Linked DNA regions of Rattus norvegicus. The protein of the gene in region 1 purifies or fractionates together with the protein of each later gene. This does not show direct contact. Links are inferred from orthologs where the notes say so. Each region holds a gene or a part of one and is shown in the gene's direction. Other genes may lie near its edges.

The links.
Region 2: the proteins of Arpc5 (region 1) and Actr3b purify together in Homo sapiens (affinity purification with mass spectrometry; 5 studies listed by BioGRID and IntAct, counting the BioPlex papers as one, with this or other methods). This does not show direct contact. The link is inferred for Rattus norvegicus from reciprocal best matches to the Homo sapiens genes ARPC5 and ACTR3B.
Region 3: the proteins of Arpc5 (region 1) and Arpc1a fractionate together in Homo sapiens (co-fractionation; 8 studies listed by BioGRID and IntAct, counting the BioPlex papers as one, with this or other methods). This does not show direct contact. The link is inferred for Rattus norvegicus from reciprocal best matches to the Homo sapiens genes ARPC5 and ARPC1A.

What each region holds. Positions count from the first base shown.
Region 1 is NC_086031.1:67,454,789-67,464,300, forward strand, and holds the end of Arpc5 (actin-related protein 2/3 complex subunit 5), read left to right. Parts: intron 1-1,920; coding exon 1,921-1,993; intron 1,994-4,350; coding exon 4,351-4,527; intron 4,528-7,204; coding exon 7,205-7,267; 3' UTR 7,268-8,500; downstream 8,501-9,512. UniProt on the Homo sapiens protein: Component of the Arp2/3 complex, a multiprotein complex that mediates actin polymerization upon stimulation by nucleation-promoting factor (NPF).
Region 2 is NC_086022.1:9,991,925-10,001,585, reverse strand, and holds the end of Actr3b (actin-related protein 3B), read left to right. Parts: intron 1-3,852; coding exon 3,853-3,978; intron 3,979-4,577; coding exon 4,578-4,661; intron 4,662-5,157; coding exon 5,158-5,253; 3' UTR 5,254-5,431; downstream 5,432-9,661. UniProt on the Homo sapiens protein: Plays a role in the organization of the actin cytoskeleton.
Region 3 is NC_086030.1:14,633,062-14,643,325, reverse strand, and holds the start of Arpc1a (actin-related protein 2/3 complex subunit 1A), read left to right. Parts: upstream 1-4,273; 5' UTR 4,274-4,392; intron 4,393-9,484; 5' UTR 9,485-9,514; coding exon 9,515-9,578; intron 9,579-9,971; coding exon 9,972-10,076; intron 10,077-10,264. UniProt on the Homo sapiens protein: Probably functions as a component of the Arp2/3 complex which is involved in regulation of actin polymerization and together with an activating nucleation-promoting factor (NPF) mediates the formation of branched actin networks.

The sequences.
Region 1 (9,512 bases):
GATGACGCCCTAGTGGGCACCTGAGCTCCAAAAATTCCTGCCCGGTGGGGACACGGGTCCCGCCTGGAGTCTTGCTATTCTGTCGGGTGTGTGTGATTTGCGGAGCGGGCATAGTTTATTCTAGCCAGGAGAGATGGAACAAATTGAGGCCCTCCGTACATTCAGCCCATGAGCTTTTTCCATCAGCAGTGTTATTTATTAAAAGAAGAGGGTTTGGGCAAGGTTGCATATAATTTATGAACAGGCTGAAGGGAGTTTTCTAATCCAAAATTCCCAGGTAAGGCTTTGAGCCTTTCACCTGCTAAGAAAAGGCTACTAGGAAAAGGATAGGGAATGCATGTAGAGAATCCCTGGGAATAATTTAAGATGAACCCCAGTGAATAAAGCAGAGAATGAGTCACTTCTATAAATCAAAATCGTTTTTCTGAAATTGTTTCCAGGCTAGTTAAAATATGGCTGTCAGTTCCTGGTTCCTTGGTTTGCATATCTGAATATTCATAACCTTGAAAATCATTTGCATTGATCCCTTAGAAAAATAGAAATGTCACAAAACCCCAAATTGGAGCTTTAGAAAACTCGTATTCATTAAGTCTGTAGATACATATCTCCCTCATCGATTTTCTACTAGATTATGATGAAGAAGTAAGCAGAAATATTTAGTGGTAACCACAGCATCGAATATATACATATATGTGCCATATACGTTTAACTTTCATTACCACTACTTCCACATTGGTTGCTACTAATTTATTTATTAAAATACTTGGGATTTTTTTCTTTAAAAAGTGTTCTTTAAGAGACTATGCAGGCTTGACAGTAGTTTATCACTAACTGTAGATAATTTTTATTAGACCTTTTCCACAGAAGTGGTGAGTTTATTCTTCGTTTAAAGAAATCTTTATGGTGGATATGATATTTTATTAAACTAATGTATTTTAGGTAATTTCTGGTGATTATTATGACTGTATCCATTATTAATTCAGTCTACCTTTTCATCAATCCATCTTATCCAAATATAAAGGTACTGTCTCTGGTTATAACTAGGAGCGGCAGCCCCGGTTGGGTACTACAGATGGAGGAACAAGTGACTCTGGTTCTCCTTTTAGGGAAATGACTGTCTTTTCTGACAGTCTGATTGGCCTTCCGTTTCCCGTGCTTGCTAACTCATTAGTGCTTTCAGTACGAAGTAGGTATGGAGGGTCCAGCCCAGTTTGAATAACCTGTAGGAAATAAAGTAAGCTGCCACCTACAGGTCGTGTGGGTTATTACATCATCTGGAGCCCTGTTCATCAATATGCAGCTATCACGGCCTGTCCCACTCTGATTGCCAGAGTAATCTGCCAGCACCTCAGTTAATACACAGTGTAGTTTCAGTATCAAGTTTAGGCTTGTTTTCCAGTAAGAATCACGCAGACAGGATGGAATACTTTGTTGGTAAACTGCATCATTCGATGGCTTAATTCTTAGGCATATTCTAAGACTTCTTGAATACCTGTCTAGACAATTGTGTGTATTTCCCTGGAAAGTGTAATCTCTTTGGTTGACAGAACAGGTCAGAACAATCTTTGCTTTTAAAAAAAATCATATTCTTAAGCGCAAGGCCCTGGGTTCGGTCCCCAGCTCCGAAAAAAAGAACCAAAAAAAAAAAATCATATTCTTTTAATTTCATTATTTTAACCTTTGGTTGACATATTGGAAAGAAACCCATACAGTTAATGACCATAGTAGTTTTTGTTACTGTTCACAAAGTCAAGTCTAACCCACCAGTCCCATAAAGTGGGGCTGCCTTTTTTTTGGTTCTTTTTTTCGGAGCTGGGGACCGAACTCAGGGCCTTGCACTTCCTAGGCAAGCGCTCTACCACTGAGCTAAATCCCCAACCCCGGGGCTGCCCTTTCTGTTATGCCCTTAACCTTCACTACAGGAAACATGACCGCTGCCCTACAGGCCGCTCTGAAAAACCCCCCCATTAACACAAAGAGCCAGGCAGTGAAGGTGAGTGGTAAACTACAGCGTTAATCCCTTCTGCTTCGCTATTATCAAAGTCCTCTGACACCTACCTTCAATGACCATTTTAACTATTTACTGTGCTTGACACGAGGGTTTACAGTGTGACTTTTGTTTTGAGACTGGACCTGAGTCTATAACCTGGCCTGAAACTTGCAGAGATCTCCCGCCTCCACTGGGATTAAAGGCATGCACCACCACATCCAGCCCGAAAGGAAGCCCCTGCTAAGTAGAACGGTCATGGAAAATAGGGCTGACATGTGGTTAGGACGCGTGGAGCACAGTAAACAGAAAGGGTGGGGACACCAGCTCTGTGTGTGCTTAAGGAGCAATCTGCTCGAGTTGAATTCAAACAGGTTCAAAAAACACTCAGCTGCCTCTTAATTCCCTAAGTTTTTCTTAATTATGTAAATATGAAATATCAGAATCAAAGGCATGAGCGCATAAAAAGGTGGTTTCCGTGCTACTTCCTCGGGTCACAGCTACTGCCTTATATGGTATTGCTGCACACTGAGGGGTTTCTACCAGGGTTTGTGTTCTTTTAAAAAATTAATAGAATCTTACACTTGAGCTGCATAGTAACGTACATGATCTTTCCTTAGCAATAAGATTATTTCCGTGGCATTCTAACTGCTGTACACCAGTATATGACATCGTATATGCAACTGATCCCTTTTACTGTATATTAGGTTTTCTAGTTTTTCCTGCTAAATGAATAATTTTATATTTTAATTGTTTATGTCAATAAAATTCCCAGAAGATAAATGCTAGATCAAAACTGACTTTTTTTTTTAAAGGCTTTTGATCCATAAAGCATTGCCAAGTCCCTCAGAAGAACTTCGTAGCTTACATCTCTGTATCAGTCCTCCACTGATTCTCAGGGAACTGCTTAGCTGTTTCTTGCTATACAGGTAACAAAGCCCTGTGGTCTGAAGCCTGCATCTCAGGAACCCAAGAACTTAAGAATTATATGTAAATGCATGATAACTATTGAAGGCACAGAACTTTGTATAGGAATTTTTCTTTGCTTTTTAAAAGTTGTTAGGAACCTCATTAAATTTTCAGTTTTACCCCTTCTGTTTTCATATGGTTTTTGTTTGTTTGTTGGTTTTGGTTTTTTGTTTTGTGTTTTGACAGCTTGTGTGTAGGAGGTTATAGCTCTAGTTACAAAGATATATAGGGAATTAGACCATCTCTAAGCTGAAGAGAACATTCTGGTATAAACATTCTGTAAAATCCCACCCGTAGGAATGACGGCAGCACCTCTGTGTTGAGCAGAAGGAGCAGTGAGCAGCTGAAAGGGTTGTTCACGTGTTCCCTCTGCTTAGGTGATGCGTAAGGAGGTGCCTTTGCTTCTGGAACCTAATGTCTGTGGATAGGAAACTTTAAAAAGTTCTTTTTTAATGGTTTTTAAAAGGATCTTTTAAGAAAATAACCATTCTTGAAAGATAGTGCAAGATAGAGTTATATAAATCAGTTTTCTTCTTTGGTTAGGAGTTTTTTTAAGACCAAGAAGTAAAATGTAAATGTTATAATAAATTGTTAAAATTTCCCATCAGTCTATTAGTAAATCCCCAGTTCTACCTTCAGTTCTATCAAAAATGTGCTCCTAAGTTGACCGTGGTGGTGCACACCTTTAATCCCACAACTCAGGAGGCAGAAACAGGCAGATCTCTGTGAGCTCCAGACCACCCTGTTCTACAGAGGACAACAGCCACAGCTACAGAGAGAAACCAAGTCTCTAAAACAACAAACAAACCAAGAGAAGGGGTTCCCTTCTTCCCACCTCAACTCTCATGCCAACCAGAACCAGGCAGTGTTGTTGGAATCACCCCAGTGGGTGTCCAGTGTTGTTGGAATCACCCCAGTGGGTGTCCAGTGTTGTTGGAATCACACCCGTGGGCGTCCAGTGTTGTTGGAATCACACCCGTGGGCGTCCTGCCTTTGCCTTACTCCTGCCTCACTGCTGTTCTCTACAGAGATGCCAGGTAGTCTTAAAATGGGAAACAGATTGGGTCGGTGCTCTAGAAGCTCTCCACTCTCTCGTTTCCCAGTAAAAGCCTGAGCCATTACGGTGGCCAGCTGTCCCTCACATGGTCTGTCTTCTCACTTCGCTCCCGCTTCTCCCACCACCCAGCTCTGTCACATCAGAGCCTTCGGAACACTCTGAACACTGAAACCCACGCTAACAGCACTTGTTCTTTCATCCACACGCTGGCCGTGTTCCCACAGCATCTTCTTTTACATCCTCCAGATCATCCTTCAAATTCACTCTAGCGTGGCCCTTTTAAAATTGTGTTCCCGGCATACACATGTCTAAATATTCTGTTATATATTTACCTCAGGACCGGGCAGGCAGCATCGTCTTGAAGGTGCTCATCTCCTTTAAAGCTAATGATATTGAAAAGGCTGTTCAGTCTCTGGACAAGAATGGCGTGGACCTCCTAATGAAGTATATTTATAAAGGCTTTGAGAGCCCGTCTGACAATAGCAGCGCTATGTTACTACAGTGGCATGAAAAGGTAAGTTAATAAACTAACAGACCCTACAACTGGCTCCTTTGAAGTGGAGAAGAATAACCTCTGTCACCTGAAAAGCAGTGACTCGATTGTACATCTTTATTAAAGTGACAAGTTTACACTTGCTTATGGGCCTTGATCTTAAGACTCCCATTTGCATTGCATTTTATTTGCGTGTATTTAGTGCATAAGTGATTTTATACTTAAAGTGTGAGTTCTTTCACACTAATTGAAGGATAGAAATAACCCAAGATGAAGGGCTAATCTGTGGTACCTACAAACCATGGGCTGTTACTCATCCATGCTACAATATCGACAAACCTAGAAGATACTGCACTAAGTGAAGTAAGCCAGACACAAAAGAATAAGTATTCTGTATTTGTACTTACGTGAAATGATCTGAAATAGGCAAACTCAGAGGGATAGAACGTTACTAGGAGTCTCCAAGCACCGTGGAGAAGGAGTGCTTGCCTGTATTCCCAAGGATAGATCCCAGCACTAGTTTTGTTTTGTATTTCAGAAATTGTTATTGGCCATATATGGTAGTGAACGTCTCTAGGGAGAGGTATCCCAGGCCAACCTTGTCTACATAATGAATTATATGCTATATTGGGAGGCTGGGTCTTGGGGAGGGAGAGAAATCAAATTATTTTTACTTCTATATAAGAATTTATTAAATGGGTGAACCAGGTGACTCAGTTGAGTAGAATTTCCTGCCAGCAAGCCTGACAACCTGAATCAGTCTCTGGGACCCACATGATGGACAAAAAGAACTGACTACCTATATACACACACACATACACACACACACACACACACACACACACACACACACACACACACTCACTGTACCCACACAAGTGTACACAAGACAAATATATTTTTTAATTTTTTAAGAGCTTTCATACCTAGCTCTTGTACTGATAAAATATAAACAATTCCATAGCCATAGAAGGACTGGGATTCCAGATGCTAACCATTATATGTGTGTATGACTCTTTCATGTACATTGTGGGGACTGAATTCTGTGAGTTAGTTAGCACTTTTAATGTGCTGAGCCATCTCCTTCAGCTCCCGAAAGTCAGTTCTTTCTAAAACCCTTCTCTTGAGTCTGAGTGGAAACGTTTACAAGATAAAACTAAAAGTAAATTTTGTTGTTGAGCCTTAGTTAAATCACCTTATCTTACATATACTACCAAAGAGCTAGTATTTATGAATAGTGTTCCTTGCAGTATTCCAGTATAGCGCCCCCTCTCACTGAAGGGAACCTGTGGAGTTATTGGTATGGTCATCTTACTTTGGACACTGTTGGCTGGGCTCCACCCTTGTTTACGTTTCACTTACTCCTCACTAGCTCTGTGAGGTGTGTACATGTCTTCTGTTCTTTGGGATTTTTTTTCGGGGGAGGGTCTGGGGGGAGGTCAAAACAGGTGCTCTGTGTGTAGTCTTGGCTATCCCGGAATTCACTCTGTAGACAGGCTGGCCTTGAACTCAGAGCCATCTGCTTCTGTCTCCTGGGTGCTGGGATTAAAGGTGTGCTCCACCACCACCACTACCACCTAGGTACACATGACTTTCTTATCTTCAGTTTGCAGTTGCCGCCTCTAAGACCCAAACTAACGTAGGTCTAGAATAGCCTCAGGACCACAGTGACATCAGTTGGGAGCTTGTTATAATCCAAACACATCTGAGAACTTTATAAATATGTCAACTCATGTAATCTTCACAAGTTACTAGAAGGAAAAACCCTTGTAGGTGAGAGGAGTAGTACACGTGTTGTTGGTTTTTCCAAAGTCTCCAGGGTTGACTTTCTGAGTGTCCTCAAGTCCATCTGTGCCAGTCTCTGGTGCACCTCACAGCATCTCCTGGCGGCTGCTACTTGCTCCATTCTGTTTTCTACTCAACCACTGGAATGAGATCTAAAATCCAAAGTATCTTGTCGTTTGTTGATGACCCATTTCACTCTTCCCTTAAGCTCCAGCCTTTCCCTGATACACCCCACCCTCACACCTCCAAACTGTTTTCTGGCCTCAGGCTGTCAGCCTCCCTGACATTTCTTACTGTCCTAGGTATATGCCCTTACTCTGCTTCTGTAGCTCTCTAAGATAAGTCACGGCACTTCATACAGAATAGGGAAATGTTGTTCTCGTATAAGTGTTGTACAGTTGTCCAAATAAGTATACCAAAATTTCTAATTGCTGGTATTTAATCATGACTCCCAGTTATTCCAGTCAGATTCCAAGTTAGAGATCAGCTCTTAGCTCTTAAGTAATATCTTCTTGCCGTAGGGAGGAAATCTGCAAACCAAGTGGAAGTTGGGATAACTTGTCCCAATCTCAGGTTCTTCCCAACCTCAATGAGGATGGGAGATGGAGAAATGAATTTATATTTGAAACTTGTTCTAGTCAGAAACAGTGCTACAGACATCTTAAGCATTATTTAGGCATAGTATACTAGAATAGTGACTAGTGTCTGATTGGAAGTAACTTCCCAAGGGCAGGAACCCTGAGAGGTTGGTCTTTGTTTTTGTTTTCTCCTAGTAATAAGACTGTCATTAGTATCATGCTGACACCTGCCTGGGGCATAATAGGTGCTCAGGAAGTACTTACCAAGTTTATGAGTTCAGTGTTTTGCCTGATCTTAGACTTTTGACGTTTCCTGTGTATTTGGTTTGTTTTAGGCACTTGCTGCTGGAGGAGTAGGGTCTATCGTTCGTGTTTTGACTGCAAGAAAAACCGTGTAGTCCAGCTGGAACTGGACAGTGTTCAGAGGAGTGGGAGTTGCTGGTACAAAGACCAAAACAACCAAATGGCACCGCTGCCCCATGGGTAGCATCTGTTTCTCTCAGCTTTGCCTTCTTGCTTCCTTTTTCATATCTATAAAGAAGAAAATTACATATCAGTTTCCTTTAATGAAAATTGAAATAATGTGGAGAAAATTTTGTCTCAGTGGGGTGTTTGATCCTTTCATAACCATGTCAATAATGTGTATCCCATTCTGTAATTTATATTCAAGTTTGTGCAATTTCTAACTCTGTTGACTGGTTTAAGGGTTTTACTTTATTTTTAACCAATACTGAGAGATGTGATCAAATTCGAGGCCAGTTTCCTAACTCATTGCTGGTCAGGAAGTGATCTTTATTTTTAAAAACGAGAGACTGGCAGCTAGTAACATTGCAAAACTGGACCACACTTCCCTTATAAAATGTGTTTCCAGAGCAAGGAGTGGGTGAACCCCACTACCACTTTCCAGCTTTCTTTCTGCTTGCCTCCAGATGATGCTATGAGTGGAAGTGTGTACTTCCTGTTAGCATCCAATTATCATGGCCTCTCAATCTCTTTGTGGTGACCCAGGGTCCAGAGCAAGAAGTCTTGCTCTATATAAATGTATTTACACAATATAAGCGCCTCTTTGGCACAAACATCCCATTTCCTTCTGATAATAAGGCTGCCTGGGGAAGCTATCCCAAGTGGGAGAATGGACTCCAGCAGCTTCTGAATGAATGCTTTCATCAGAAATAAGGTAGCTGCCTTAGACATTTACACAAGGGTTCACTGTAACATTTCACACGCCCAATGGTGTCCTCAGTGTTCTTCAGGTAATGGGGATCTCAGAAAATGTGGTTCTGATCCAAATACATAGTGTGTGTTTCAGCTCAGTGTTTTATAAGAAAGGAAAATGCCGCATAGTAAAAGAAAGGTGTCTACTTTGTCGGACAAACCAAATTGGTTCTCAAAAATGACCGGTGCTTGTAAAAAGTTATTACAAAGTAGTTCTGAAACCAACCACCCGAATGCCTGTGGCCAAGAGGGAAGCAGCCCGGTTGTCTTCCTAAGATGCCAATTCCAGAGTCGCTGACTGAGGTGAGAACCAGCACAGAAACTATAAACTGCTGTTTTTGATACCTGCTTTTTGTTTTGTTCTGTTTTGTAAAATTATGATAAACTTCAGAAAATAAAATGTCAGTATTGAATAATTTTTGTTCTTACTTGAGTACTTGAAATCTCGTTAGTTAAGGGACTGCTCCAGTGCCGCTGTCTGTATGGAGGATGGATAACGTCACTAATGGGCACAGGTGGAGAAGAGCCACTACGGATGTCAGCACTGCTGAGGTGCTTTCTGTGACTCCAGAGCCCTCTGGGTCGCAGCAGGATGTACCAGCGACCTGCAGGGCCTGATTCCTGTAGCTGGCAAGGACACTCCCGACTTCCAAACTCTCCCTGGTTAGACCCCAGACCTACCTCACACCTGTCTACTCAGCAGCTTTGCTGTCCAACTGCGCCTGGCTGACCCCTGCTTTACTCAGGTTAGGACCGTGGCTTAAGTGAGGCTAAGCAGTTCCTAGTGGAGGTTGTCAAGCAGGTTAGCACAACCACCACCTTAGAAACAGGGAGCATGCTTAACTGCCTTTGTGACCTGAAGTCTCAGGACAAATGCTGGAATCGGTATTTTAGATTCACAGGAACGGATACAGTAAGATCCGTCAGCTCTGCTGAGTAGAGAGTGAAAATAGACAAGCAGCACAGCACAGGAACTGAGCCAGGGTGGGTGCCAGCCGGAGACAATGGGCTTAACAAATGTGTCTGGCTAGGCCATGGTGATTGACAGACCGCCCAGGTACTCTGACACACAAGTGGTTCTTCATTGCCCAAGTGGGAGGTAGGGTGTGTGGAGCTGGGGTGTGTAGAGCTAGTGTGTGTGGAACTAGTGTGTGGTTGAGCTAGTGTGTGTGGAGCCTCAGGGCAGGGTCAGGAGTCTTTGAGTTGCATTACCACCTTATTTATGAAAATCTGAACCTGGAGCTTACCAGTAACTTGACTGACTGGCCAGCAAATCGCTAGGGGTCCTCCTGTGGCTTCCTCCCCAGTGCTGAGGTCACAGACACCAGCCATGTCTGACTTGGGTGAGAGCTGTCTGAACTTAGGTCCTCATTCTTGTCTCAGTGAGCCCCTTGCCTGCAGCCATCTTCCAGCTCCACAGAAGCCCAT
Region 2 (9,661 bases), on another chromosome or scaffold:
AACAAAGTCAACGCACAAACAAGCCCGTGGGCTTCCAGATCTAGGAAACTGCTCACAGGGTGGGAAACTAGGAGGACTCAGGGAGTAAGGACAACCAGTGGGCTCTAAAAATGTGGCACTCTTCAGGTGACCCATTGCCATTGCCACCCTACCCTTGCTGCTTTCAGGGACTTCATTTCCCTAGGTTTCCCCACGGCCATAATGTTTGCACACGATGTACTTTGTGCAACTAGATGTCCTTAATGACTTTTATGTCTGTTACTGTGTCATCCAGGGGAGCACTGTGTCATCCAGGGGAGCATCGTGACAGGCAGGGGAGCACTGTGACAGTCATGGGAGCACCGTGACAGACAGGGGAGCACTGTGACAGGCAGGGGAGCACTGTGTCATCCAGGGGAGTCCTGTGACAGGCAGGGGAGCACTGTGATAGCCAGTGGAGCACTGTGACAGACAGGGGAGCACTGTGTCATCCAGGGGAGCACCGTGACAGGCAGGGGAGCACTGTGTCATCCAGGGGAGCACTGTGACAGGGGAGTCCTGTGACAGGCAGGGGAGCACTGTGATAGCCAGTGGAGCACTGTGACAGACAGGGGAGCACTGTGTCATCCAGGGGAGCACCGTGACAGGCAGGGGAGCACTGTGACAGGCAGGGGAGCATTGTGACAGCCAGGGGAGAACTGTGACAGTCAAGGGAGTATGGTGATAACCAGGGCAGCACTATAACAGGCAGGGGAGCACCGTGACAGGCAGGGGAGCACCGTGACAGGCAGGGGAGCACCGTGACAGGCAGGGGAGCACCGTGACAGGCAGGGGAGCATTGTGACATGCAGGGGAGCATTGTGACAGCCAGGGGAGAACTGTGACAGTCAAGGGAGTATGGTGATAACCAGGGCAGCACTATAACAGGCAGGGGAGCACCGTGACAGGCAGGGGAGCACCGTGACAGGCAGGGGAGCACCGTGACAGGCAGGGGAGCACCGTGACAGGCAGGGGAGCACCGTGACAGGCAGGGGAGCACCGTGACAGGCAGGGGAGCACCGTGACAGGCAGGGGAGCACTGTGACAGGCAGGGGAGCACTGTGACAGCCTCTTCCCTTAGCTAGCACCATCATTGGGGAAAGGCACTACACTCTATGTACCACCAAACACCTAAAGTGGCATTGGGCAGACCCTGGACCAAAATGAGAGCACTCTGTGGCTTGAGGAAGGGCTTCATACCTCTAAATCTAAAAATTCTTAAAGGAGTCTATGATTTTGAAAAAGTTTAAAAAATGTAAAAATCACATTTTAAGATAAGAGCTTTCTATCATTCTAGATGTTGTGTTCATTGAACTGTGCTTGTTTTAAACATGTAAAAAAGTGAAAAGCTGGGCTGGGGAGGAGGCTCGGTGTGTGAGTAATCCAGGTTAGAGGGTAGTCTGTATCTGTGATCCTAGTCTCCTAGGATGAGGTGGGAGGCAGAGACAGGAGACTCCCCAGAAGGTCACGGGACAGCCATCCTGGGGGTCAGCAAGGGGCAAAGGGGAAGGTCAGGAGCAACCCCCTGAGGTTGCCCTCTGACCCTGACACACCCACACTTGCATCCACAAACGACCCACCCCCACCCCCGCCCCCCACGGAAGAGAAAGCAAAGTTACGTTTTCACCTGGGAGCACGTGTGGCAGCTTCACAGTGCCCAGAAGACAGGTTTGGAGCTGTGAAGCCTGAGGCAGGGTCCCTCCTCTGCACAATGTCAGTGTCCCTCAGGGTCCCTCCTGCTATTAGCCCCTGAACAAGAGCTGACAGCCTGAACTTTTCTCTACTAGGGAGCTGCAGAAGGTTTGCCTCAGTGTTTCACATCTGGCCTACAAGCTCCCTTCAGGACCTCTCAGACATCTGACTGGAGATCACAGTGGCTGCCCAGCTGTGGTTTCCCATGGCCCATGGCTCAGCCCTGTTGTGGCCTGGCAAAGTGTCCCTGCAGGTCCTCAGCCTAGCTCCTGAAGCAGTGCAGGCTTCTTGTAGGCTTTCCTAATGCTATGGGCAGGGTATTAGAGGTGAAATGTCTACCTAAACTCACATTGGAACAGGAGTATGTGCCAAGGCAAAAGCCTAGATCTGAGGTGGCTTTACAGGGCTCTGCACTTCTGCCTTTGTCTCCATTGCCTGCCCTGCAGATCTCACCGCTGCCACTGTGGCCCTCGGCTTGGCCATCTCTCACTGGTAGCAAGCAGCAGTGAACAGAACGGATCCATCATAACCTGGGCTGTCTGGCCTGGGTCTGTATGGATCTCTTTCCCATAAACTTGTGAGGGATGGGCTGGCTGAGGGAGTGCCTGACTGCAGGCCCTGCAGCTACACAAGGCATCCAGGAAGGCAAGTGTGGGGACTTGTGGTTCCGTGAAGGATGGTTTTTATTTTCTTTATAGTTTTCTCAAATGATATTTTCTGTCAGAAAGTTAAATGAGGGCAATTTCACTTTCGTTGTCCTAAGTAATATTCTGTAGCCTGAGAGAATGGAACTGTTAGCTTTCATGGTACCAGCCAGCCAGTTTAATGATTCTCACCCCGCCTCACCCACCAGACGGCTGGTGCAGTCACATGATAGAGGCTGGCGCATTCGTGGGGCTGTGGGCAGAGGGAGGACGCATTTGAAAATGTTCCCCGGGTGATTTGAGTGTGCCTCTTTTCCACACTGCTGCTCTGAAGGGGTTCCAGTGTGAGCGGAAGGCCCTGTTGCCCTGTTGGCTATTATGGCAAAAAGAATTGAAGATCCATGTTAGTGATTTGTGTGGAACCTGCCTGTCAGTGAATGTGGCTTTTCTGTCGTCTTGGCTCTTGTCAGGGTTCTGCCCCAGGGCAGGGGGAGCTCGGGCACACGCTGCTTTGTGCTTTCAATTGCTTACGGTGAAGGAAGTACCAGGGGAATGATTGGTGGCAAGCCGTCACAAGAAAAAAATATAACCCATGCCTTTTGGCTAAGTAAGGTCTCAGGTGAGGGATTCAAGGAAGTCAGTTATTAATGCTGTGGGTAATAGACATGTTGGAAACTCTGGGGAGTTCAGGCCCTGGTGACATAGACAGACAGACAGACAGCATGGCAGAGCTCTGAGGAGAATCAGCCTATGAGGCAAGAGTGCCTTTTTATAGCCCCTTTTCTCTGAGGAAGGATGAAAGTTTCTCAGGAAGATTCTGCAGCCAGGCTGTGTCTGATTCTCCCTGCAGATGAAAAGGGACAGCTCTCACTGTTAAAGGAAATCAGGACTTACTCTGGAGAGGACTTTACAGCACCAAGGCCCGGAAATGCAGATTGAGGCTACCCCAGGTTCCATGCTCCAATGTGGAAGCAATTTCAGAGTTTTACAGATCAAAGAAAGTTGTAGATCAAAAAAAGTTTAAACTACACTGGTGGGCACATAAGGGAGGTGGATACAGCAGGATGGGCGTCTGCGTTTCTGTAGGCAGATGCTATTTGCTAACTGCCTTAGTTAGCTTTTGGTTTGGTGGAAACTAGGGATCTTCTAAGCTAATACCTTACTTTTATACATCAGTCACAGGATGTTTGTTCTGGCACAGGGGTGGACAAGGAATGGTTAACCCAGGACTAAAGCTAGCCTGAGGTAGGCAGCTTGCCTCTGGAGCTGCAGCATCCCGACCTCTCCATGCCCCTGCAGTTGTACTGCCGTCGGAATGCAGGCGGTCCAGCAGCAGTCTGCCTTCAGCTCCCGACGGCAGGCGTTCATGCCTCAGTTAGTGTCTGCGTCTGCGTCAGTGTGCTGCTTACCCAGCAGCCCTGCTGTGGGGCAGTGATGAGACCATCACAGACAGCTTGGTGTCACCCGAGGCGGCTCACTGTCCACTTTGGTCTTTCAGAACATCGTTCTCTCTGGAGGCTCCACAATGTTCAGAGATTTTGGACGCCGTCTGCAGAGAGATTTGAAGAGAGTGGTGGACGCCAGGTTAAAGCTGAGCCAAGAGCTCAGCGGGGGCAGGATAAAGGTAGGAGGCTGTGTGCAGGCTGCTGTCCGCCATGTCAGTGTGTGTGTGTGGGGGGGGGCAGGCAGTGAGGTGTGATGCCCAAATTCACACGTCCAAAGGGAGACGTCCTTAAGACCACTCAGACTCTCTTTTGCAAGATGAGGCATCAGTGTGTGTGACCAGGGTGCTGCAGAGACAATGGTGAGGGAATAACCTGTGTGTGCAGGGAACCAGGCTGTGCTTCTCCAAGGCCACAGCTCTGAGCTGCCCGGTGCTGCATGGGCTTCTCCCTGAGGTGGGATTTGGTAGGGAAGAGGGAGCAGAGAGCCCAGTGCAGTGAGGTGCCCGTTACAATGTTTGTTTTGTTTTAGTGTTTGGGGGTTCACTTTGTTATTGACCTTGCTAAGCCCAATGATTTGTTTGATTAATGCTAGGTTAGTGATGTGTTTCAGTACTGGAAGAGGGGGCCTCAGCTAGGCACGAGCACGTCCTCCCCTGAATCTCCTGGGCTGACAGTGCGGTGCGGCTGAGGCCGTCACTGGAGGAGCTCAGGGTCCGTCATGGTCACACTGGTGGAAGGATGTACTGTGCAGACTAAACGCGGTTGCTTGCCTTTGCAGCCTAAGCCTGTGGAGGTGCAGGTGATCACACACCACATGCAGCGCTACGCCGTCTGGTTTGGAGGCTCTATGCTCGCCTCGACTGTGAGTCCCTTTCTCGACTGCTCTGTTGTCCTTCCTGCTTCCCTATGGAGTTTGGATACAAACACGAAACAGCATCTGTTCTGTTTGCATGGCCTTCAATAGGCAAAATGAATTCTGTTTGATGTAAAAATGTTTTAGCTACCATTTAAATTGTATGTCTCGTTAACACACACCCTACTCATTGTCCTTTCCAAGTTGTTGGTTGGTTGGTTATTTATTTATTTATTTATTTATTTATTTATTTATTTCCCCCTCAATGTTGTTGGCAGTTATTTTTAGTTCACATTGACACATATTTGAACCCAGTAAGGGAAACTGAGTAAGTTTATTGTTGCTTTCCAATGTTGGAAATTGCTGAGTGAATTTTAAAAAGCGAAATAAACTTCTGCCTGGTTTGTCACCAGGTTTAGAACAGTGCTTGGCAGGGGGACCTGGGGATAAGGATAGCCTCTTCCCCTGCTCATCATCTTCCTTCCGCTGGCTGCTTCTCCTGCAGCCGGAGTTCTTTCAGGTCTGCCACACCAAGAAGGACTATGAGGAATACGGCCCCAGCATCTGCCGCCACAACCCCGTCTTCGGAGTCATGTCCTAGTGTCTGCCTCAGAGCCATTGTCTTGACAGTGTCCTGTTGGGGAATAAGTGTCCTTCAGAACCCAGAGCAGCCTTGGCTCCTGTACATAGCAGTGTGGAATCAGTGTGTGAGCAGCGTGATTTCATGGCCGGTGCTCGGGGCCGGGCACAGTCTTCCCAGTAAAGCCATTTATCCGGTGCGACTGTTCGTGGTCCTCCTCCCATCCCCCTCCCCTCCTGCCCCTCCCACTCTCTCTCCTTTCCACCTGAGCTTCTAGGCGAGCATAGCTCTGAAGGAGTCCATTGCAACCTTAGAAACTACCAGAGGAACACGTGATGCAAGTGGTTTCTCCGGGACAGACTGAAGGGTGGAGGAACCCTGGCCTTCCCAGCCTATTTTTGTAAATAAAATGTTATAAACTTGAAATACAAATTGATGTTTATATTTCCTATCATTTTGTATTTTATGGCATTTGGTATAACCGGCTAATATTAAGCATGAGTAGTCACAGAGTTCATGGATGTCACAGAGTTCTGTAATAAAGTGCTTAATTGTGAGGCATGCTCTGATGTCTGTACAGGCAAGTAAAACAGCAGGCCCAATGCCACATGTCTGCTGGGCAGTGATCACATGTTGGTGGGGTGGTGTGACATCTGGGCACTCACCAGGACTGGGTGGGAGTTGCTACAGATGGATCTGAACTTCCTGAAGCTGCTTTATAGAAGATGATGGTTTATGTTGTTGAGTGTGGGATGAAATACTATTGCACTGTTGTAATAAAAGCTGCTAGAATCTTTACAACTGTTCCTTGTGGTGTCTCTTGAGAACCTTGGACTCCACAGGTTTGCAGATGATAGATGACTGATACTGTGTGCATGCATGCGTGCGTGTGCACCTGTGTGTGTGTGTGTGTGTGCGTGTGTGTTAAAATTGATGTTACCCAAGACTGGGTGGATAACCTGTTTTGTCTTGGAGGGGGTGGGTACATCCTTAGGGTGTCCAGGCTCCCCTGTTAGGAAAGCTTTCAGTGCTGACGTCTGCTGAGTGACCCCTCACTCAGGTGTAGGTCAGTAGATCTGAAGCTCTCCCTTCTCCTAGAACCCTTGGTACTTTAAAAATTGTTGTTCTAATCCTCCGAGTTGTGAGGCACGTTTTACTCTCAGAAAACTCCATTTGTAACAGTTTGGTTTTGTTATTTAATTTGGGAACAAGTTTGAGCTTTGAGGGTTGCTTTTATTTCCACATTTGATTCTTCACTTCAGTTATTCACAGCCATCTTCAATCTGAGAATAGTCAGTGGAAGATTCCGGTAAGCAGGGAGACTACATCCAGGGAACTGTAAAAAACTGTTAAAAAACTGTTAAAAAAAAAACCTATTAGTGTGTGGCCTGTATATGTGTGTGTGTGTGGTGTGTGTATATGTGTGTACATGTGTGCATAGTGTGTATATGCATGTGTATGTGGTGTGTGTGTGTGTGCACATGTGTGGCCTGTATATGTGTGTGTGGTATGTATATGTGTGTACATGTGTGCATAGTGTGTATATGCATGTGTATGTGGTGTGTGTGTGCACATGCTCAAGCATGTGTGGTATGTATATGTGTGAGTGCAAGAGCCAAGGTTCCCATGTGAAGGTCAGAGGACAACTTCCCAGAGTCAGTTCTCTCCTTTCACCTTCATGGGGTCCAGGGATTGAATCATGTCTCCTGGCTCACATGTGCCTTGACTGGTTGAGCCGTCTTACTGGCCCCTCATGTAATTTTTATTGTAGATTGACTATTCTTACTCTAAAATGAACTTTATAATTATTAAATACTTAACGAATACTTATTACATGAATATACACTTCATTCACTTGGCTTGGCAATGTGCTTTTGAGTCTCTGCATGTGTGCACAAGCGAACACACATACATGGCGTGGTAACACTTGTCTTCTTATAGTCTCAGCATTTACCAGGCAGAGGGAGGAGGTTCACTATAAGTTTAACGTCCACCTGGCCTAACAGTGGGTTTTATGTCAGCCAGGGATACACTTGGTGTTTGAGATGGCTCATTGAGTAAAAACTGTATTGTACAAGCCCAATAACCTGAGTCTGATCTCTAGGACCCCTAGTGCAGGAAGAGAACTGAGTCCCCGAGGTCCTCTGACTTCTACCTATGTGCTGTGATACATATGCTAATGTGCATACACATGTACACTACTAGTGAAACGTTCCCCAAAGTTAAAAGCAAAGTAAAGGGGCTGGAGAGATGGCTCAGTGGTTAAGAGCACCCGACTACTCTTCCAGAGGTCCTGAGTTCAATTCCCAGCAACCACATGGTGGCTCACAAACATCTGTAAAGAGAGATCCGATGCCCTCTTCTGGTGTATCTGAAGATAGCTACAGTGTACTTATATATAATAAATGAATAAATCTTAAAAAAAACAAAGTAAAACAACATACACACTGTATATGTGTACATACACACCCACACACACACATGCACACACACACTGTGTGTGTATGTTTATGTTTGTATGTGTATGGGTGTGTGTGTGTGTGTGTGTGTATATATATATATATATATATATATATATATATATATATATATATGTATGTATGTACACGGTGTACCCATCATAGTCATGCATGGACAGAATCATCTAATCCAAAGCCAGCTTTGTAACAGACTGTTGACTACACATGTGGAAACTGTGCAGACATGATAGGATGTAAAACACCATTCTACCATGCTGACAGCATGGCCCACTACATGAGGAAGGTTCCCACAATGACTGATTTTCTTTACTTTGCTTACTGCTGCAAGGTACACCTTCTCCAAGCTTCTAGTATAAGATTACTTCTGTATGTCAATGTTGGCACCCATGTTCGCCAAACTAGAGCCAGTGTAACCTGGTCTCAGACCCAGAATGTTTAAAGCTTCCTTGATCTCTTTGCCACAAGATTGTTTTTGAAAGCCTTTTATTTATTTATTTTTTAAATTAAGTGTGTGTACATGTGTGTGTGGTGTATGTGTAAGTGCACATGTATGTGTTCGTGCCTATGGAGGTTAGAGGTCAGTGTTGGATGTTTTTCTCAATCACTCTTTAGTTTTTGAGACAAAGTTTCTCCATAAACCTGTAGCTTACTAATATGGCTAGACTGGCTGGCCAGTGACCTCCTATCTCTGCCCTACTCCCTCTCCATGCTGGGGTTCTAGCCATGTGCCACTGTGTCTTGACTTTTTACATTGGTACCAAACTCAGACCCTTAGGCTTGTGTGTCAGGCACCAACTGAACCTCCTTCCCAGCCCAGAGATCATTTTATTTTAGATATAACATATAGAAAGCAGGATGTTCCACTGCAACAGGACTATGTGGTGCTATCCTCTGCCACCCCACCCAAACACATTTTAGAGGAAGTGGGGAGTGGGGTGAAGAAGGAAGGTGCCCATGGCCTGCTTCCATTTTCAGACTCCTAGGTGGAGCTGGGCTGCATCTGGGTCTGCAAGCCCTGACAGGAAGACCCTTTGACTCAGAGATGTAAGTATAAAGTTTTACTATTCCTTAAATGAATGATACCTACTCCTATCTTTCCTCAATTTCCCAAGTATTCTAAGGGTCCAGTTGCTGTCAGTGGGTTTGTTTGTTTTTCATTTATTGATTAAAGCTGCCACGTACTGTATAGAAAACCAAAATATGATTTGGTCACTTTATAAAGAAAGTTATGTTAGAATTATATCACTAATTTACAGAAAATCACCACACAATTTTGTTCTGGTTGACTTAGGCTGGATCGCAATGTGGTAGAATTGGGAGCAAAGCTTCCAGTTGGAGCTGACCCAGTGCCACAGCTTTCTGTATCGAAATCCTGCCAGGAGAGAGTTGGTCTCCCAAGAGTGCTGGCACATATGAGAACACAGGTGAGACCACCACTTCTGTTCAAGGGGACCCACCCGGAGCCCTCAGGACCCAGGAACCAAGGAGCAATCTGGGACAGGATCTTTCCAGTTTCTGTCTGTGCCCTGAGCTGTCCCAGTACCACAGCTCTCTATACTCAGATCCCACCGGGAGAAAGCCAGTCTCCCAGGAGTGCTGACACACAGGCTTACAGAAGGGTTAAACCACTGTCAGAGACAGCAAGACCAGCTAACGCCAGAGATAACCAAATGGTGAGAGGCAAGTGCAAGAACATAAGCAACAGAAACTGAGGTCACTTGACATCATCAAATATTCCCCCACCACAGCAAGTCCTGGCTACACCTACACACTGGAAAATCAAGATTCGGATTTAAAATCACATCTCATGATGATGTTTAGAGGACTTCAAGAAGGACCTTTAAAGAAATACAGGACAACACAGGTAAACAGGTAGAAGCAAAACCATCCGCCCCCGCCAGCGGGGACTCAGTTATTCGTGGGGGTCGAGGGGGACCCATACCTGTGGG
Region 3 (10,264 bases), on another chromosome or scaffold:
TTCTCTTCCAGGTACCCTCAGCCCACCTTGTTGACACTTAACCACTAGGCCATCTTTCTGGTCCCAGCATTCTGCATTTCTAAGTGTCAGTGCTTTAAGTGGGGTGCTGAATATCCCCCAAAGGCCCGTGTATAGAAGGCTTGGTCCCTAAGGTAGCACAACTGCAAGGTTGTGCTACCCTCGGGAGTCAGAACCTAGTGAGAGCTTGCCCCATCGGGTCACAAACTCCGAAGAGCATCGTGGTACCCTGCTCTCTTCTACCTTTTTATGTTTGCTCCCCAGCCTTTGAGGCAAGCATTTTGCTTTGCCACATGCTCCATGTCACGTCCGCCACAGACCCAAAGCGATGGGTCTGCCCAATCTCATATGACGTGCATGCAAATGATGTATGTGTATACAGTGTGCCTGTGTGTACGCACATTCGTGTGTGAGAATGTTGGTACACAGGTACTACGGTAAGCTTTTGGAGGTCAGAGGTCAACCTTGGATGTCAGTCCTTGTCTTACACCTCGTAGGGTCTCCTGTTCGTACCTGTGTGCACCAGGCTAGCTGGCCTGTGGGCTTCCTAGGATTTAACCGTGTCCCTCGCCCGTCGAGCCACAGACACAGTAGATATATAGATATGGGCTGCTGTGTCAGCTTCGTGTGGATTCTGGGGATCTGAAGTCCAGTCGTCACAGGTGTATGACAAGTGATTTTCTTTTCTTTTTTTTTTTTCTTTTTTCTTTTTTCTTTTTTTTTTTCTTTTTTCTTTTTCTTTTTCTTTTTTTTTTTTTTGGAGCTGGGGACCGAACCCAGGGCCTTGCACTTCCCAAGCAAGCGCTCTACCGCTGAGCTAAATCCCCAACCCCGACAAGTGATTTTCATATTAGCCATCTCTCCAGCCCAAACTTTTCCCTTTATAAGTTAATGATCTCAAGTACTTTGTAAAAGCTACGAGAGGCCAGTGCACCATCTACCCTGATGACTAATAATTTACAGGCAGACTTCTCCTTTTGGCTACTAAGTCAGCGCTGTTGCAGAAGTCTAAAAAGCAAGCACTGAATAACTCAATACTTACTCTCTTTGGGTCCACCGATTATACCAGGCCACGATGGTCTATTGGGAGAGACCAGAGCAGGACGCTTATTCTTGCTTCCCTACCTTATATCAAGAACTTCACGTCTCAAAACACTTCCGCAGTTTCTGCTGTTGTAGAATAAGGCTGCTTGACTTAGAGAGAGTTGTGGAGACCTGAGAACTCAATGGCCTCAATTGCCCCCCATGAAACATGAAAGCTGTGGGCTTTATTTAGGCTGATGTGCTAAACACTGACGCAAAGGATGGAAAACGCTGGCTGCAGTGCTGTGCAGCTTTATCCCCAGCACTTGGAAGGCAGAATCAGGTGGATCTCTGGGAGTTCTGGGCCAGCCTGGGCTACATTGAAAGTTCCAGACTAGACAGGCAAACTCAATGAGATTTTGTCTCAAAGGGGAAAAAAAAATCACGTTATCTACTAAATGGTTCTTATTTTATGGGTGCTGTTTTGTTTTGCCAACTTGACTGGATTTAGAATCACCTAGCAGACATATCTGGGCATGTCTGAATGTGGAGACACCATCCCGTAGTCGGGGTTCTAAACACTATTTTCTTGTTGCTTTCTTTCCAGCTGTGGGCTGGGTGCAGGGCATATGCCTGTAACCAGCAGCCTCCAGTCTGCCATGTCTTCCCTGGAGTGAGGGACTGCATCCCTTCAAACCAGAAGCCAAAATAAACCCTTCCTTCCCTATGTGGGTTTTGCATGGATTTTTCTCATAACCAAGATAAAGTAACAAACCAACATGGCTAATCTTCGTCATTTACTGTAGACAGTATATTTAAGTATATTTTCATCTATCCAGACTAAACTTCTTGAAAAAAGAAACTGTCTTTTGGGGGCTGGGGATTTAGCTCAGTGGTAGAGCGCTTACCTAGGAAGCGCAAAGCCCTGGGTTCGGTCCCCAGCTCAAAAAAAAAAAAAAAAAAAAAAAAGAAACTGTCTTTTGTAAAGCATTGTAGTCTAAGTAAAACACTGCTGAGCTTTTCCTTGTTTGTTTTTGGCTCTGGGTACCAATTGTATACACGCAGGAAACGGCTCGCTTAACCTACAACCGTAAGGAACCCTTGCTTTCTCTGAATGCTATTTTTCCTCTGTCAAGTTAGGAGGGATATTCAATTTGCAGTTATCTCCCCACTCCATTCCTTTGCTCCCCCATGACAGAACCTGTAGCCGTGGGACAAACTTAAAACATGAGAGCTCTAAGTCAGGAGGACTCTGTGAACCACTGAACTATTTAACTGTGAGTAACACCACATGGGTGTGAAACTGGGAGTTTTGCAGATTCCCCTCTGTAGACAGTGCCTTACAACCAAGGGCTTCTGAACTGAAATTCCCTGAAGTCCCTTCTCTATTTAAGGTCCTGCGGACAACTTGACCTTGCTCAACTAGGATGCAGTGTGAAGAGATCAAATGTGATCGATTCCCAAAGCATCTCAGGGCATCTTGGGCCTTTCAGAAGCCATCTGCTAGCCTTGACTTCCCTTCTGAATCTCCCATTTATACATACATATATATGTATGTATATGTGTGTGTGTGTGTGTGTGTGTGTGTGTGTGTGTGTGTGTGTATGTATATACTGTTGCTGTCTTCAGACACATTAGAAGAGGGCATTGGATCCCATTACAGATGGTTGTGAGCCACCATGTGGTTGCTGGGAATTGAACTCAGGACCTCTGGAAGAGCGATCAGTGCTCTAACTGCTGAACCATCTCTCCAGCCCATTGAGTTTTCCTTTTTGAGACACGATCTCATGTAGTCTAGGCTGCCCTGAAACCCCTATGTAGCCTACGCTGGCTCTGGTCTTCCTCCTCTCTACCTCTGAAGTGCTTGCAATTACAGGCTTGTGGCACTGCCTCAGGTTTATACAGGGCTGGGGAGCTAAGGTTGTGGATGATGTTAGGTAAGCACTGTCAACTGAGCTACATCCCCAGCCATGATCTTTTTTTTTTTTTTTTTCTTTTTTCTTTTTTCTTTTTTTCAGAGCTGGGGACCGAACCCAGGGCCTTGCGCTCGCTAGGCAAGTGCTCTACCGCTGAGCTAAATCCCCAACCCCTCCAGCCATGATCTTTATTTTTACACTTAGCCTAACATTCTCAGACGTGTGTAAAGCCCCTGCTGTGCATGAGCAGACCCCTAGCTTCCACCAACCCTAAAGCTAAGAGTACTCTAACCTAGTTTGAAACCTAAGAAAGATTGACTCTTCTTGCTATAGCCCTCCTACCTGATGTTCCCTATAACTTCGCTATATGTACTGACTTATGGCTTTCTCTTGTCCTGCAACTATAAAAGTTCACCAAAGGGGTTGGGGATTTAGCTCAGTGGTAGAGTGCTTGCCTAGCAAGTGCAAGGCCCTGGGTTCGGTCCCCAGCTCTGAAAAAAAATAAAAAAAAAGAAATTGCATCTACATAGCAAACACTCTTCCCATATTTCCACTGCACCTCCTTGCAGTGTCACTGTGGGTGTAGAAACAAGTGCTCCTGATCTAGGAGCGGTCAAAGGCACTCTTGGGTAGACATGAGACTTTCTACTGAGGGTGCAAGGCACGGACAGCCCTCCAGGCAGAAAGTAGTCTACCTACCAATCCTGACCCACCCTCTACGAAGGTGCATACGTAGTTGCAAGGGAAAGAACACAAACCTAGTTGCAAGGGCTGGCTAGATAGCTCAGTTTAAAAGACTGTGCTGTTCTTGCCAAGGACCTGAGTTCAGGTACCACATGGGGTAGCTTACGGTTCTAGCTCCAAGAGGATCTGTTGTTCTCTTCTAGCCTCCGGGGCACCTGCACTCACATGCACATACCAACACAGACATCCACATGAATATTTTTTAAATTTTTGGAATTGTTCTTCAGAACCAGGAAGCCTGAGAGAGCCTGTCTCAGTGATTTATGACAAAAAAACACTTGAGACTGCACACTTTATGACACTGCACACTTGGGCCATGGCTCAGGAGTGTGTGTGTGTGTGTGTGTGTGTGTGTGTGTGTGTGTGTGTGTGTGCTTAAGTCTCTTTAAAGAAAGGAGCAGGACTCCTATCCAGTTCCATAAGCACGCCCTAGCGCTGACTAGCGGCTGCCTCATCTGAGCAACCGCAGCCATTCAGACAGAGCACCCCAAAGAGGGCTATGTTCTGCGCCTGCGCCCGGCGGGCAGCCGAAAGAGGCTGCTCTGCGCAGGCGCCCTGACCACTTCCGGGATCTGTCAGCCGCTCCCTCTAGGCCTCCCTCCTCCGTCCGCGCCCGCCGGAGCCTGTTCGCGTCGACTGACCAGAGTCCGCGAATCGTTCGCTCCGGACCTCCCGACCTCCCCTACCCCAGGTAAGGAGCTGCAGGGCCGAGAGTCTGGTCCGGGTCGCCTCCATTTCTTGTATGTTCTATGGCACGCGGGGGCGGCGGGCCCAGGTCGGTTAGGCGCGGGGTCTTGAGTTGAGGGGGCCGGGATCTCCGTTCTTCGTGGTTACCCCTGAGTCCCTGATCCCCACCTCCACCCTACCCCCCAACACACACAGACACAGACCGAGCGTTCCTGAGCACTTTCCAGCTGCCCTCCGTCTCGGATGGGAGAAGGAACAGCTTGGCCTCCGACACCCCCACAGTTCCATTTGCACCCCTACTGTGAGCGTTTACCACAATCTGTAAAATTAGTTTAGACGGGCCGATCTCCCCCGATGGCTTGTCACGATGGCTTGTTCATCTCTTCAACGTCTAGGATGTTGCCTAGAGCAGCCTCCGATCCATCAGTTATTGGGGAACCCTCCCCAGCAAGAGAAAACCCATCTTTCGAGTAGCCTTAAGATTCCTTTGCTCCAGCCCCCGCCCCAAGTCAAAGTTGTACTCTCCTCTTCATTCCGATTCATAGGGTCCTTTATGTAGAACCGCCGGAGTTCCCATTTGACTCTGCCATTTGTCAGGTGTCTCTGGAAAGGTTGTTTCTTGATGCCTCAGTTTCCCCAGCTGCAGTAAGAAGATTCTTAGTCCGCTTGGTTTTATTGGGTTCATGTGGAGTTCATTTGCTTGAGTTGCTTACAGTAATTCCTAACCCAGAGTAGCTGATCTAAAATAAGTAACAGCCGTTACTAGTGCCTTCATTTCCTTTCTGCTCTTTCCTCCGGAGAAGGACTTGAGGACTAGGTTTTATTTATGTTTCTGGCCCCATTCAGATACTTAACATTGTTGGGAACTTGGGAAGCACTTAATAAATTGCACCTTAGAATCTCTGAGTATAAAACCATCTGTTGTCGTGGTGCGACTTGGGAGGCTCCTATCTCCTCCTTGCCCAGTTTTCTGAAATGACCTAGTTTGGCATCCTATCTTATCAGTGTCACGTAATCTTTTGGTTTCCATGTAGGCCTTAGGATTTCAGATCTCTAGAAGTTATCAGTTCGGGGTGCTGTCTGGGGGCGTGGGGCTTCTTCAGTTCATCTTCTGTCACAACTGGGGGATCCTTCTGGAAATTGCAGACTCCTATGGAGGATGGGTGGCAGTGTTTTGATCTAAATTATCTAGCGTTAGGTCAAAATAAGTTCTCTATAGGAAGTGTGGAGATGGTCTGATGAAGCTGGAATTTAGAATGAAGCATTGGTAGGGTGTGGTAACCTTGTTGGAGCTCTTGTTGGTATCGCTGGGTTGGGTAACGAGAGCAATTAGTAACTAGATGAATCACAGATTTGAAAATGACCCTAACAGGGAATGGAAGTTCTAACTTAACATGAATTTGTCAAGTTCTAGTGGAATGGAGCCAAGACATCAACATAGGTAGACGTGTCCAAGTTCAGAGGATCCTTCTAGGGCTGGTCCAAAGCTTTGTGCCAGAGACTAATTTACTGGGCTTGCAAGATGGCTCTGCCATTAAAGGCTAGACTTACAGAAAACTAACTTATTGGGGTCCGGTCTGGGGTGCTTTTATGTGCTATCTCACTTAACCTTCCTGACAGTTGTCTTGTAATGTCATTTGGAGATGAAATGAAAAACGTCCCAGCGTCTCATGATGTATGTGTTAAAACGAAGATTCAAACTCAGGTCCCCTTGTCTCCAGATGCCATGGCTAACCAGATAGTAAAATGACTCCACTCGAAGGCTGGGAACGTGGCTGAGTTGGTGGAGCCCTTGCCCTGGTGTGCATAGTGTGCGGGTTGGCTCCCCAGCAGGGCAGGAAGAAAAGACTGTGCTAAGTGAAAACCGAAGAGAGTAGGAGCCCATGGAGTCACCTCTTTTTCAGTCCTTTTCATCCCTCAGTGCTGGACAGCGGCAACAGAAGCCTGGGTTTTTGGTCGTTGGTTATGTTTGAGACAGATTCTTAATTGTATATAGTCCTGGTTGGCCTGGAACTCACAGAGATCCTTCTGCCTCTGCCTCCTGAGTGCCCAGAAAACTTATTGTTCACATAATCACCTAGAGTGTTCCCCTTTCTCCTTTTGAGCCTTGTTAAGATTTTCAAACACTGCTTAAATATCACCTGCTGTTTAGTGATTTTAAATTATCACCATATGAATAAAGGTTCGTTTTGCTTGGTACAAAATTGTGGCTTAAAATAGCCAAATGACTATAAAGGAAGGACATGTCTGAATGTATGTTCAATTATAAGACTTGACTGAAAGAACAAAATTAGAAATGCAGTTGTAGAAGTAATTCTGCTGTTCTTTAGGAAGTGCGTCCTTAGAAACCCCGAGTGAGAGAATGAGAAGTCTATCTGGAGGTGTGACTCTCAGCTCTTCATGAACTAGGTGTCCTCTTTGCATGTGGATAACCAAGGCACTAGCTTACAAACCAGCTTTGTTCCCTTAAAAAGCAAGTCCATCAGCTTTGGGGTCTAAGCTGCATTGTTCACAGTTAGTAATATTTGTAACAATCCATTCTTTTAAGGTTTATCTGTGTGTGTACGTTGCCATGTGTGTGGTTGCCATGTGTGTGGTTGCCATGTGTGTGGTTGCCATGTGTGTGTCTGTATGTGACTGCCATGTGTGTGGTTGCCATGTGTGTGTTGCCATGTGTGTGGTTGCCATTTGTGTGGTTGCCATGTGTGTGTCCGTGTGTGTGGTTGCCATGTGTGTGTTGCCATGTGTATGGTTGCCTGCAGAGAGCTGTCAGGCTCTTTGGAGCTGGAAACACACAGAGCTACTTGACCTGGTGCTGGGAACTGAACTCTGCTCCTCTAGGAGAGGAGCAGGTGCTGCTGACCCCTGAACTTACTTCTCTTTGACCATGGCTTCCTTTATAGAGTGTTTCTTTTCTGTGCCACAGGCACTCACTTTTGTTTATGGAGTTTGCCTGTTGTTTGCCTCACAACTTTCTAATGTCTCTTCCATTCATTCTCTGCTAGTGTCGAATCCCTATCTCACTGGGCATGGAAACACATGGCCTGCGGTCAGGACGCTAAGGCAGAAGTATTGTTAATTGGAAACCAGCCTGGGCTACATATAAAGACTGTCTCAAAGGAAAAGACATTAATTACAGCATTCAGTAGGCAAGGGCAGGTGGATCTCTGTTTGAGCCAGCCTGGTCCACATAGTAAGTTCCAGGCGGCCAAGGCTGTAAGTGAGAAGAAAGGACATTTATCCCAAACAGATCATCACTTTTCCCCTAACGGCTAAGACTTGTTCTTACCTAAGGCAAACCATTATCATAGCTAGGATGAAGATAATTTCATGCTCTTATATAATAATCAAATTCAAATTTGTTATACAACACATGTCTTTTATGGTTATTTTTAAACATACTAATTAGAATCAACCATCTTTTATGAAATTTGATTTTCTTAGCTCTTTTGAAATCTAGAACAGATTCTTCCCTCTACCTCCCAAGTGCTGGGATCTAAGCTGTTTGCTGCCATACCTATCCATACTGCCTTTTAAAGAAGTCCAGGCAAGCTGTTTTCTAGAGGGCACCTCTGGGCTTTTCGAGAGAGACAGAGAATGAGCAAGTGTGAGGTGTGTTTATGTGTGTGCTTGTGCTCACATGAGAACTGTGTGTTTGTGGTGTGCGTCCATGGGAATGGGCCATGGCATGTGCAGATGTCAAAGGACGCCTCCCTCCCGTGTCAGTCCTCACCTTCTACCTTGTTTGAAACAGAGACCCTTCCGTTGCACACTACAGTGTGCCCTGAGGCCCTCCTGAGGGTCTCCTGTCTCCACCTTCTAGCTCCCTGTAGGATCACTGGGACCACAGAGGCTCTCGCTGCTGTTTCCAGCTGTCCTCAGGGTCTGGGGGACCAGAGCTCAGGCCATCTGGCTTGCACAGCAAGTGCTTTAACTGCTCAGCATATCTGAGGAGCGACATCAGTGTCGACTTCTGGTGTTGCTTTCTGCTTTACCTCCTGTAAGCTGAAAGGGAGATCCAGGCCTCGATTGCATTTAGAGTAAATATGTTTGGCAGGTGTGCTTCATAACTGGGTTGATCATCTTCCAAGGTTTATCTAGGATGGCCTATAACTTCCTGTTAGACTGACTGACTAACTGACTTTCTTTCAAGGCAGAGTCTACTCCATAGTCCAGGATGACCTGGAACTCTCCCAGAGTTCCTCTGGCCTCTGCCTATTGAGTGCTGAGATGCACTTGGTCAGATTGACTTTTATTCTAAAGTGACCTGTAGGAATGTCCTGGGGCGTGTCCTTGTGAGTGCAGGTGCTGTGGGGCTGGAGTTACAGTGGCTGTGACAGTCACTGTGGGTGCCAAGACTTACCCAGGTCCTCAGTGGTAGCACTAACTGCTGGGCCACCTCTTCATCCTCTCTTCAGTGGGGATTAACCTGGGGCCTTCCACATGCTGGCAAGCACTCTCCCATTGAGCTGTATCCCCAGGTCTTCCTGCCTTGAGTTTCCGTTTTGTTTTTACAAGTATCCTGCTGCGGATGATGAATTAAATCATTGTTTTCAAATTATGATATGCTGGTCACGTCCCCCTGGGACTGTGGGTTTAGATCTCTCTGCTCCCGTTTGTAGCTACAGGTTTGGTTACTTGGTCAAGGTGATGCCTATCAGACTTCTTTATAGTGAAAGCATGTTTTCCTTCTCATAACTTAGCAAGTCCTGTGTGGAGTTGTAGTTTGAGGCTGAATACCTACTCCATCAGTCTGTGATTTGAGAGTCAGTTGGTGACCCTTCAGAGTAGATTCCATACTGGTGGTTACTGTGCTCTAGTCCTTGTTACGGAATTGTTTTTTGTTTTGTTTTTTTTTCTTTTTCTTTTTCTTTTTTCGGAGCAGGGGACCAAACCCAGGGCCTTGCGCTTGCTAGGCAAGCGCTCTACCACTGAGCTAAATCCCCAACCCCACGGAATTGATTTTTGTATTGCAAGTGAGTCTTCTTACTGGGAGATCAATGTTGTGTTTATCCCCAAATAGGCGAGTCCTTCTGATAACTTGAACTCTTAGTGCATGACATTTTGAGTGTTTTCTTTCCTATTGCTCGTTACAGCTTTCTGACCTGTGAAAACACGTAGGAATCATGTCTCTGCATCAGTTTCTGCTAGAGCCAATCACCTGCCATGCCTGGAACAGGGATCGGACCCGTAAGTGTGCTTTGAATTTCCTGATGCTTCTCTGTGGAATGGGCTTGTATAGAGGCCAGAGAGCCATGTCAAGTGTCTTCCTTAATTATTTGAGACAGGGCCTCTCAGTGAGCTTGGAATATTTCAGTTTGGCTAGGCTGCTCTGCCAGTGGCCAGTGAGCTGCAGGTGTCCTCCATCTTGGCCCCACCCCACCCCAGTGCTGAGGTTATGGGCATATGCCGCCACGCCGGAGTTTACATGGGTTTGGGGGGTTCCACTCAGGTCCTCCTATTTACGTGGCCAGCATATTACCAGCTGAGCTATAGCCAGCAGTTACAATTCTCAAACTCCAGAGCTGCAAGTAACATCAGGGATGGCACGCTGTTAACAGTTGTGCTGCCTGCCTTCCTCAGAGATCGCACTGAGCCCCAATAATCATGAAGTGCACATCTACAAGAAGAATGGGAGTCAGTGGACGAAAGCTCACGAGCTGAAGGAACATAACGGACACATCACAGGTAAGGCAGCTGCAGGCTCAGTGTGCTCTTTCCACACAGAGCACCTTCCTCAGTAAGTAAAGCGCCTCATCACACCTCACATTCCGAGTGCCGTAGGACTTACTGAGTCTTCTCTTTGCTTTCTTTCCTCCTTTCTTCTTTTCTCTTTTTTCTCTGGAGCTGAGGACCCAGGGCCTTGCGCTTGCCTA